2 linked regions of the Chlamydomonas reinhardtii genome follow. The protein of the gene in region 1 interacts with the protein of each later gene in a pairwise test. Links are inferred from orthologs where the notes say so. Each region holds a gene or a part of one and is shown in the gene's direction. Other genes may lie near its edges.

The links.
Region 2: the proteins of CHLRE_17g735950v5 (region 1) and CHLRE_09g390430v5 interact in binary tests that used the Arabidopsis thaliana proteins (3 or more experiments, as listed by UniProt). The link is inferred for Chlamydomonas reinhardtii from reciprocal best matches to the Arabidopsis thaliana genes TTL and DDL.

The regions. Positions count from the first base shown.
Region 1 is NC_057020.1:5,235,464-5,239,624, forward strand, and holds CHLRE_17g735950v5 (uncharacterized protein), read left to right. Parts: upstream 1-1,366; 5' UTR 1,367-1,512; coding exon 1,513-2,460; 3' UTR 2,461-3,524; downstream 3,525-4,161. Other genes in the region: CHLRE_17g735900v5 (uncharacterized protein), read right to left, coding at 1-489. UniProt on the Arabidopsis thaliana protein: Involved in the last two steps of the degradation of uric acid, i.e. the hydrolysis of 5-hydroxyisourate (HIU) to 2-oxo-4-hydroxy-4-carboxy-5-ureidoimidazoline (OHCU) and its stereoselective decarboxylation to (S)-allantoin, a major ureide compound.
Region 2 is NC_057012.1:3,643,449-3,647,790, forward strand, and holds CHLRE_09g390430v5 (uncharacterized protein), read left to right. Parts: upstream 1-1,305; 5' UTR 1,306-1,589; coding exon 1,590-1,599; intron 1,600-1,891; coding exon 1,892-2,694; intron 2,695-2,922; coding exon 2,923-2,973; intron 2,974-3,188; coding exon 3,189-3,310; intron 3,311-3,648; coding exon 3,649-3,866; intron 3,867-4,108; coding exon 4,109-4,230; 3' UTR 4,231-4,327; downstream 4,328-4,342. Other genes in the region: CHLRE_09g390356v5 (uncharacterized protein), read right to left, coding at 1-739, 865-966. UniProt on the Arabidopsis thaliana protein: Involved in the microRNA (miRNA) and short interfering RNA (siRNA) biogenesis. May facilitate DCL1 to access or recognize primary miRNAs. Binds RNA non-specifically.

The DNA.
Region 1 (4,161 bases):
CGTGAAGATGTCGGGAGTGGTGTGGCTGGGATCGGAAGACACGACCTCCCTGATCACGGCCAGGTCGTCAGCCGCCGCCGCCAGCTCCGCCGCTCTAGGCAGCGGCATTGGCGCCCCTCCACCGCCGCCGCCTGCTGCTGCCGCCGCCCTTGCGCCGCCGCCTGATGCTGCTCTGCGGCTGCTGCCTCCGCCCTTGCCGCCAGAGCCCCGAGCGGTCGCGGCGGCGGTCGCGGCAGCAGCACCGGCGTGCGAGCTGCTGCTGCTTCCGCCTGAGCCGCCGCCGCTGCTGTCTGCATTCCCATTGCTACCACTGGCACTCGTGAGCTGTTGCTGTTGCTGCAGCAGAAATGCTTGGTGCACGCGGCCGCCCAGAGCGCAGACCCGCGCAACCCGCTCCTCGTAGCTCGGCTCGGCCTGATGCGAGGAGGCGGAGCTGCTGCCGGCGCCGGTGCGGACAGACAATAGCCTGTGGCACCTAGAAGGCGGCATCGCGCACCACCGCTGCACGGGCAAGCGAAGGGCAGTAAACCTGGAAGCAACGTGGATCGCGCGCTCCTCACAACGCTCGCAACATGCTACTTTACGCTTCCGTGCAGCCGTGCGTGTACCTGTTGAATCACTACTGAGCTGCTGCGCGGTGGAATGCGGCTTCGCGCGCGATGTCGAAGACACCAAGCGACCCGCCGGATCACCCCCAAGATCGGCCATACCGGCCGTCTTACCTCTTTGCCCGGACCTTGAACCGGTGACCAGGCGAGCAGCACGGTACCTGCCCTGGATAGGAGCGCACTTGTGTGCCTTCGCGAGATGTGCCAGGTGGGGCGACCCAGTGGCAGCATCGGATCACAGACTTCCCACTCTTCCGCCCCACTCCGTTCCTCATGAACGCCTACCTTCCCCCTGGGTTAGGGGAAACCTCCTTGACTACTGGAACCTACTCCGTTGGGCTTGGGCACATACCCCCCCCCCCGGCCCGCTGCCATACTGGACCGCTGCCTTGCCCGCCACCTTCGCCCCCTGCCCCCTTCCCCTGCCCAGGCCCCTCCAGCACCAGCTTTGGCGCAGGTGGGGGCTGTGGATCCTCATGCCAGCAGCGTTCCAGGTGCGGGCGGCATCGCTGCGTGGGTGAATGTTGCAGTCACCCATGGGGGACGGTCCTCTTCCGTGCTCGTGAATTTCTGGCCCTTTTGGCCCAGAAGGCGGGACAGAAGGGACCGGGGGACTTGCGCTGCGGTACACGCGAGGTCGGTGCAACCGCGAATGTCCCGCGAGTGAACGGCACTTATAGGTAAAGCGGACTGGCAGTGTGCGCGCAGGATCATAAGTTGTATACAGTTTGAGCAACATTGCATTAGGCTCGGCAATCTATGGCGCGGATGGTCCTGCAGCAAGCTTTCAATCCAGGCACGTGTGCACTCGCTTTGTCTGTTATTCACCTGACAGATTGACATCTCTTTAGTTGCGCCCAATCAAGCTAGATAGGACGTAGCCAGCGAGCCAAGAAGCCATAAAATGGCGCTCGCAGTTTCCTATGAGCAGGCGATAAGCTGCTGCGCGTCAACCCGATTTGCGCAGCAGCTCTCTGCACACGCACCATATTCAGATATTGACGCGCTAGTCGCAACAGCACGGCGTATCTGGTGGACGCAAACTGGTGTGCCGGGATGGTTGGAGGCCCTTGCAGCGCACCCTAAAATTGGTGACAAGAAGGGCATGGAGGGAAAGCCGGAGGCGTTCGCGGGCTTCAGCAGGAACGAGCAAGCAGCTTCCAATTCCAGCCTCAGCGGCGATGTGCAGGCCGAGCTGACGGAGTGGAACCAACGCTACCTGGAGAAGTTCGGCTTCATCTTTATCATCTTCGCGAAGGGCAGGTCCGCGCCTGAAATCCTGGCCGCGCTGAAGAAGCGCTTTAACCGCCTGCCCCACGAGGAGCTGCACACCGCCGCGGCGGAGCAGATGAAGATTACAGAGCTGCGCCTGTCGGGCCTGTTCGCCCTGCCCCCCGACGCCGCGGACCGCGCGGCGCGCCGCGCCGAGCAGGTCCTCACGCACCTGGCGCCCGGGCACGGCGGCGCGCCGCTTCGCTCGCCCATCACCACGCATGTCCTGGACACAGCAACCGGCCTGCCCGCGAAGGGCCTGCCGCTCGCGCTGTCGCGCCAGGACGAGCTTTCCAAGGTGTGGGAGACGGTCGGCGAGGGCGTCACCAACGAGGACGGCCGCGTCGGCAACCTGCTGCCGCCGGGCAATTACATCCAGCCCGGCCGGTACCGCATGTTCTTTGACACGGCCGCCTACCTGGGCGCCTGCAAGGCCGCGCACCCCGCATTTTACTCGGAAGTCCCCTTCTACCCCGAGGTGGTAGTGGAGTTCATCATCACGGCCGACAAGGCGTCCGAGCACTACCACATCCCGCTGCTGCTCAGCCCCTACGGCTTCTCCACCTACCGCGGCAGCTGAGCGCATTGCTGGCAGTGCTGGTGGCGATGGCGGAGCTGGTGGAGGTGGCGGAGCTGCAGGGCGACGGCGCCTGCTGATGTGGCGCTGCATGGCAGTAGTTGGCGGCAGTAGCTGGCGGCAGTACCTGGCGGCAGTAGCTGGCGGCAGTAGCTGGCGGCGGTTGCTGGGGGCAGCAGGAGGGCGAGGGGCAGTTACCACGGGTGGTTAGGTCGAGGCGCGAAGAACTCATGGCAACGCAATGCAGTGTGCATAACGGAGGCGAGTGGGTGATGCGCTTGTACGGCAGAAGCTAAGGAGCTGGGCGGGTGACGGTGTGGGCGACAGCTCATCACAGCGAAGGGGCCGGACTGGTGCATGCGAAACCTACGCAAAGGAGAGCCAACAGGGTCCCTGGGGCAGGGGTCCCGCGCATGTGTATGCGTATGACAGATAAAAAAAACATGCAGGGCGCGGGTGGGGAGCAGCCCGCAGGGCCTGACTTGTTGTGGTGCACGCGCAGCTGATTGTGTGCAGCGATGCGGCGGCGTCGGTACTAAGGGCACGCAGGATTGCGTGGGGGCCTGCAGGTCTAGTGCGAAGTGGTACTGACCAGTACATTATCGGATACGGTGGTAGGTGCGGACGGTGCCTACTGCGGCACTCGTGTGGCGCGGGGCCGACGAGGTGCGGAGCGGTATGGGTGCTTGCTTGCCAGGCAGCTCACGCTGGGGCTGCAAAGCATTGACCAAGCGCTCGTCGGGGTTGATGGCGATTGGGAGGCGTTCGGTTGTTGGACGGAGAGGTACAGCTATAAGCGCCGTGCTACAGCTATAAGCGCCGTGTGGAAGGTGTTATACGGTATCTGCCGTGCTGAGGACGCAACGGCAAGGGATGGCGATACCGATGACTGGATCGCGATCAGATTATCCTAAGCGCCTTGACTCGTGTAGGCTTTGGGCCGCGGATGTATGTTGAGGAGCCGGGCGGCCTAGCATGAGCACGCAACTGATGCAAAGTAGGCGTCGCAGTGCGCTGCTTTCACTGCGGTAGTCTTGATGCTGTGTGCACTGTAAACCCTTGCAAACCGTTGCCGTCAGGAATGGTATGATATCGTGTGCCGTCGTGCAGCATTGCAGCGGCAGAGTCACAGGCAAACAATCCCGAAGCGTTGATAGGGCTGTGGCTCCCAGGCTCAACTGCTCTAGTCAAGTTGACTGCCTGCGTGTCAGCTGTCGGCCACCCACCAGCACCACCACCTAGTGCGCTCCAGCAAAGAGCCGTTGCCTGACGCTGCCGACAGGGCTGGCAGGAGCCAAGGCATGAGCAGCAGGCCCGAGGCTTGAGGCTGGTGGCGGGTAAAAAGGCTAGCTCACAGCACGCAGTGGAGGGGGGCTTGCACGAGCTTCTACAGGCTATATGCCTGTCCTGACGCCACCATCTGGCTTTGACCGGGCCCGACCTCCCAATGCAGATCACCTCCTCTGCAACCCCCTCTGTAAGAGCTGCACCATGCACCACGCAGCCTACCGCACCGCTCGCCCCCTGCTCCTTGCAGCCCCCGCTCTTACTTCGCTCCTCCATTTCAACTGTGCGCTTCGCCTGCGCCTGTCTGCCGACGTAAATTTGAATTCCGCAGGCTTAACCCGCACGACGGCGGCTCCATGCCGGGACCCACCCACCCAGCCGCTGCTACTGCCACTGCCGCTGCAGGTGCCACGTGGC
Region 2 (4,342 bases), on another chromosome or scaffold:
CCTCCGTCCCGCCGCCACTCACATCAGCACCGCCGTCAGGGGTACGTCCTGCTACTGCCGCCATTGCCGCCGGGTCGCCCTCGGAAGCATGGCCTTCCGCTGCATCACCGCTACCGGCTGCACCTCCAGCAGGACAGCCTGCCTCTTGCGTGCTGATGGTGCAAGACTGCGGTCCTCTCCCGGGCTCCGCGTCAGCAGGTAGCGGTGCGCGAGTCGCCAGCATGGATGCGGAAGCGGAAGTAGCAGGAGCAGTAGCAGCTTGCGGGCCGTGGGCTTGCCAAAGCCCACAGTGATTCGCAGAGCCGCACGACAGCTGGACTCCAAAGGTCACGGGCGGCTCAGCGGCTGCGTGCGCCGCCTTAAGGGCAGCCAGCGCTTCCGCCGCCGCCCCAGCCGCTGCCACCGCCGCCTCCATGCCCCCTCGCTCGGCCGAACCCAGACCAACTGCACGACCCGAAGAAGTGATCGTTTCGGAGACTTCCAATGCCAGGCGCAATCGCTTCTCAGCTGCAGCTAGCTTCATAGCTCGCTCCACGTGCATGCGAGCCTGCGCCGCCGCCATGTGCCGTACCAGGCCGGAGCTGACGAAATGGAAGGCGGCGTGGTGGGGCTGCTGATGGCGGCCGCCAGCACGGTCGGCATGCGGCCCGCCTGGAGACAACTGTCGTCGCACAAGCTCTTCAGACTTGAGGTGTTGCAGCAGGGCTTCCAGAGATGTTTTATTTAGCTTTGTTACAGCCTGGAGAGGCGCGAGCGGGGGAGGGGAGAGGTGCGGTATGGGGTAACGTGGGCCTCTGCAAAGCCTCGCAGGGCTGTGCAGTAGGCCCCGCAAGCCAAAGCGTGACCACCATGCCGGTGCCGCACCTGCTCGTGCCGCGACTCCAGTAACTGCCACACGAATAGGGAGAGAACGAAGAGCCCAACTCCGAGCTTCAGGGCCTTGCTGCAGGGCTGGAGGACCGGCATCGCTAGGGGCAGGCAGAAGCGCCGGGGCTACGGCCGCTGGGTTTCCGGGAGCTTGCTGTGTGCCGAGAGGTCCGCGTGGCCTCAGGCCACTGTCAGAGCCACCCCCTGTTTCGATTACATCACACTACTACATCATACGAGCATTACATCAGTAATCATGCCTTCGCCGTATGATTTTAACAGGAGAGGAAACCCAAATGCCAAGCGCAACTGCGGTGCGTCCTCTCGATATGCACTTCAGTTAAGTTAACTATAATCACTAGGGTATTAATACCGGAAGAGCTTTGGGTGGCGCAGCTACGGTGAATCCGAAATTGAGAAACCGGAGCAATCCATGAAGTCAAAGTTAGGCCAGACACTGACCCTGCGCTCATAGAGATACAACATTACATCAATACACTAACGCTAAGCAACGCCCTCGACTATCTAGACGCTGCGCCTCGGACTTGAGCCACTTGCAGGCCCTGACTGCCCGCACTGGTTCACCAGCGTTTAATTTCTAGCTCCTGGTACTCTTAGCATGCCTCGGTAACCCTGTGCTGGTGCGGCAGAGGAGTTCGCGGGCGAATTGCTGCTGACAGCAGTTCCAGCTTAGCTGGGGCTGCAATTGTGGAACAATCACCATGGGTGATGGTGAGTATAGCAGCAGATCTCAGGCTACTGGCGCGACGGAGGTCAGACGTGACCGGGTCAGGGGACCGGGACCCTGGCGCTCAGCCAGCCTCGCCAGGACCACACCGTGGCGGGTGTTATCGTGGCGCCATGACAGTGGCACCCACGCCACGCCTGCATCACATCTGAAACATGCTTGTCAGACAGCTCACCCCACAGAGCACAGCACCTGGCGACCGGCCCACGCTGGCCCACTCCGCACGTCTCACTGCGCTGCCACCGTTAATCTGCAACCACACCTCCCGCATCGCAGAACGACGCCGCCGGGGACCCTCGCGTTCGCCAGAGCCGCGGGACCAAGGCCGTGATCGCGACCGCGCCCGGGAACGGGACCGCGAGCCGCGGGACCGTGCCGACCACGGCCGCGCCGACAGGGAGCGGGAGCCGCGGGACCGGGAGGCGGGGCGTTCTCGAGACCGGGATGCGGACCGGGAGCGGGACTACGGCCGTGACAGGGAGCGGGAACACGAGCACGACCGAGACACGGGCCGTGACCGGGGCGGCCGCGGCGGTCATGCGGAGCCGGAGGAGCGCGGCGGTCGCGGCGGCGGCGGCAGCGCCAGGCCCGCGGTGAAGGAGGAGCCGGCGCACGAGGATGCGCCCGGGCCACGCTATGGCGGTGGTGGCGGCGGTGCAGGGCGGGATGAGGGCCTTGATGGGGGCCGGCGAGGGTGGGACCGCGGGGAGCGCGACAGCAGCGACCGCGGCGGCGGCCCGCCTGGAGATGGCCGCGGCGGCGACCGCGGCGACCGTGGCCCGGCTGGTGAGGGCCGTGGCGGCGGCGACCGTGGCGGTGACGGCGGCTTTGGGGGGCGGCGTGAATGGGATGATGAGGACCGTCGTGGAGGCGGCGGCGACGGGGGCCGCGGCGGCGGTCGCGGCGGCGGCCGGGGTGGAGGCCGGGGCCGGGGGCCAAAGCGTGGCCGCGACGACGATGACGAGTGGGGTGGTGGCGGTCGGGGCCGTGGTGGCAGCGACTCGCGCTACATGTCTAAGGAGGAGCGGGAGTTCAAGGAGCGGGAGGCGGAGGAGGCGGCCAAGCCCAAGGCGCCCAAGGCAAGTGTATGTGGGCAGCATCGGCGCAAGTAGTGCATCACGGGGGTTACGCATGCTGCATCAGGCGGCACGTGGCCATGGCAAACAGGACTGTCTTGCTGCAAGTTGCTCACTGACCTTGGTGCTCAATGGCCATCATAGACATGTACTGCCACGGCCCTGCACAACCACTTACACGGCCACCACGCCGATGCTGCCATGCGCACATGCCCCCGCTGACACCCTCAGGAGCAGCCCAACTTGGGTCTGTCCGGCAAGCTGGCGGCTGAGACAAACAAGGTGCGTCTGGGCGAGGGTTCGGCCAGCAGGGCATTCGCTTGTGGGGCTAGCAGGTTGCTGTCACACCCTGCAGTTCCCCGGCTGTGCGGAACAAGAGACTGTATGCCCGTACATGGGGCTGAGGGTCGGACGCGTGGAACCACGAGTGGAACCACGGGTCCGCGGCCTCATCTGTGTGAATGGAATCAACGACCTCCTGCATGTGAAAATGGCAGGTTGCGGGCGGCGTGGTGTTGAAGCATGTGCCTCCGGCCGAGGCGCGCAAGCCCGACAAGCGCTGGCGGCTGTACATCTTCAAGAACGACCAGCTGCAGGACGAGCCCTACCACATACACAGGTGCGGCGCATGTCGTACGTGTGCACGATGCGTGGGGCCCTGCGCTCGACTTGCCCGGGAAGCCGTCGCGCCACTGGTGGGCGCCTACCTCCTCTGCCAGCCGATACGATATGCGGATACGGGTTTGCACGGACACCACCATGCTCCCTGCCGTCATCTCGCCCTCCCTCGCCCCTCACGCCATTCACCCCTGCTCGTGCACCTTTGGCCTGTTTAGCGCCCGCTCTACCCGGGGCTCTACTCCCTTTCCTTCGTACCCCAGCATCCCCGTCCGTCACGCGGCCAACCCCTCCCGCGTCCCGCCTCCCCTCCCTCCTGCCTCCCCACCTCCCCTCCAGGATGGACCATTACCTGTTCGGCCGCGACCTCACAGTGGCGGACATCGTGACCGCGCACCCCTCCTGCTCCAAGCAGCACGCCGTGCTGCAGTTCCGGCTTACGGAGAAGGCGGGCGGCGCCGGCGGTTTTGACGAGTACGGGCTGGCTGTGGGGCCGGCGGCGGCGGTGCGGCCGTACCTGCTTGACCTGGGCTCCATCAACGGCACCTTTTTGAACGGTGGGGCGATGGGTGCGTGGGAAGGGGGAGGAGCGTGGGGGCGGAGGTGATAGGGAGGAGGAGGGCTGGCGCGAGGGGCTGGAGCGGGCTGGGAATGAGTGGTTGCGGCTGGGCTCTGGGGGACTAGCAGTCCAGGGTGCGGCACCTATGGATAGACGCAGTGGCCTTACTGGCAAACCATTCCAAGCCTCCACCTGGCTTTTGCTCCTGGGCCTCCTCTTGGACCCTCTCCACGCCTGCAGGCGAGAAGGTGGAGCCGCTGCGCTACTACGAGCTGTTGGAGAAGGACGTGGTGCGGTTCGGGCAGAGCAGCCGCGAGTACGTGCTGCTGCACGACCGCAGCGGCGGAGACGACGACGACTAGGGAGGCGAGGGAGGAGTTGTGACTTGGAGGAGAGGGGCCGCTGCAGGAGCAGCAGGACGACGGGGCGGGGGTGGAGAGGGCCCACTTGGTTAGCAGGCTGGTTGCATAGAGC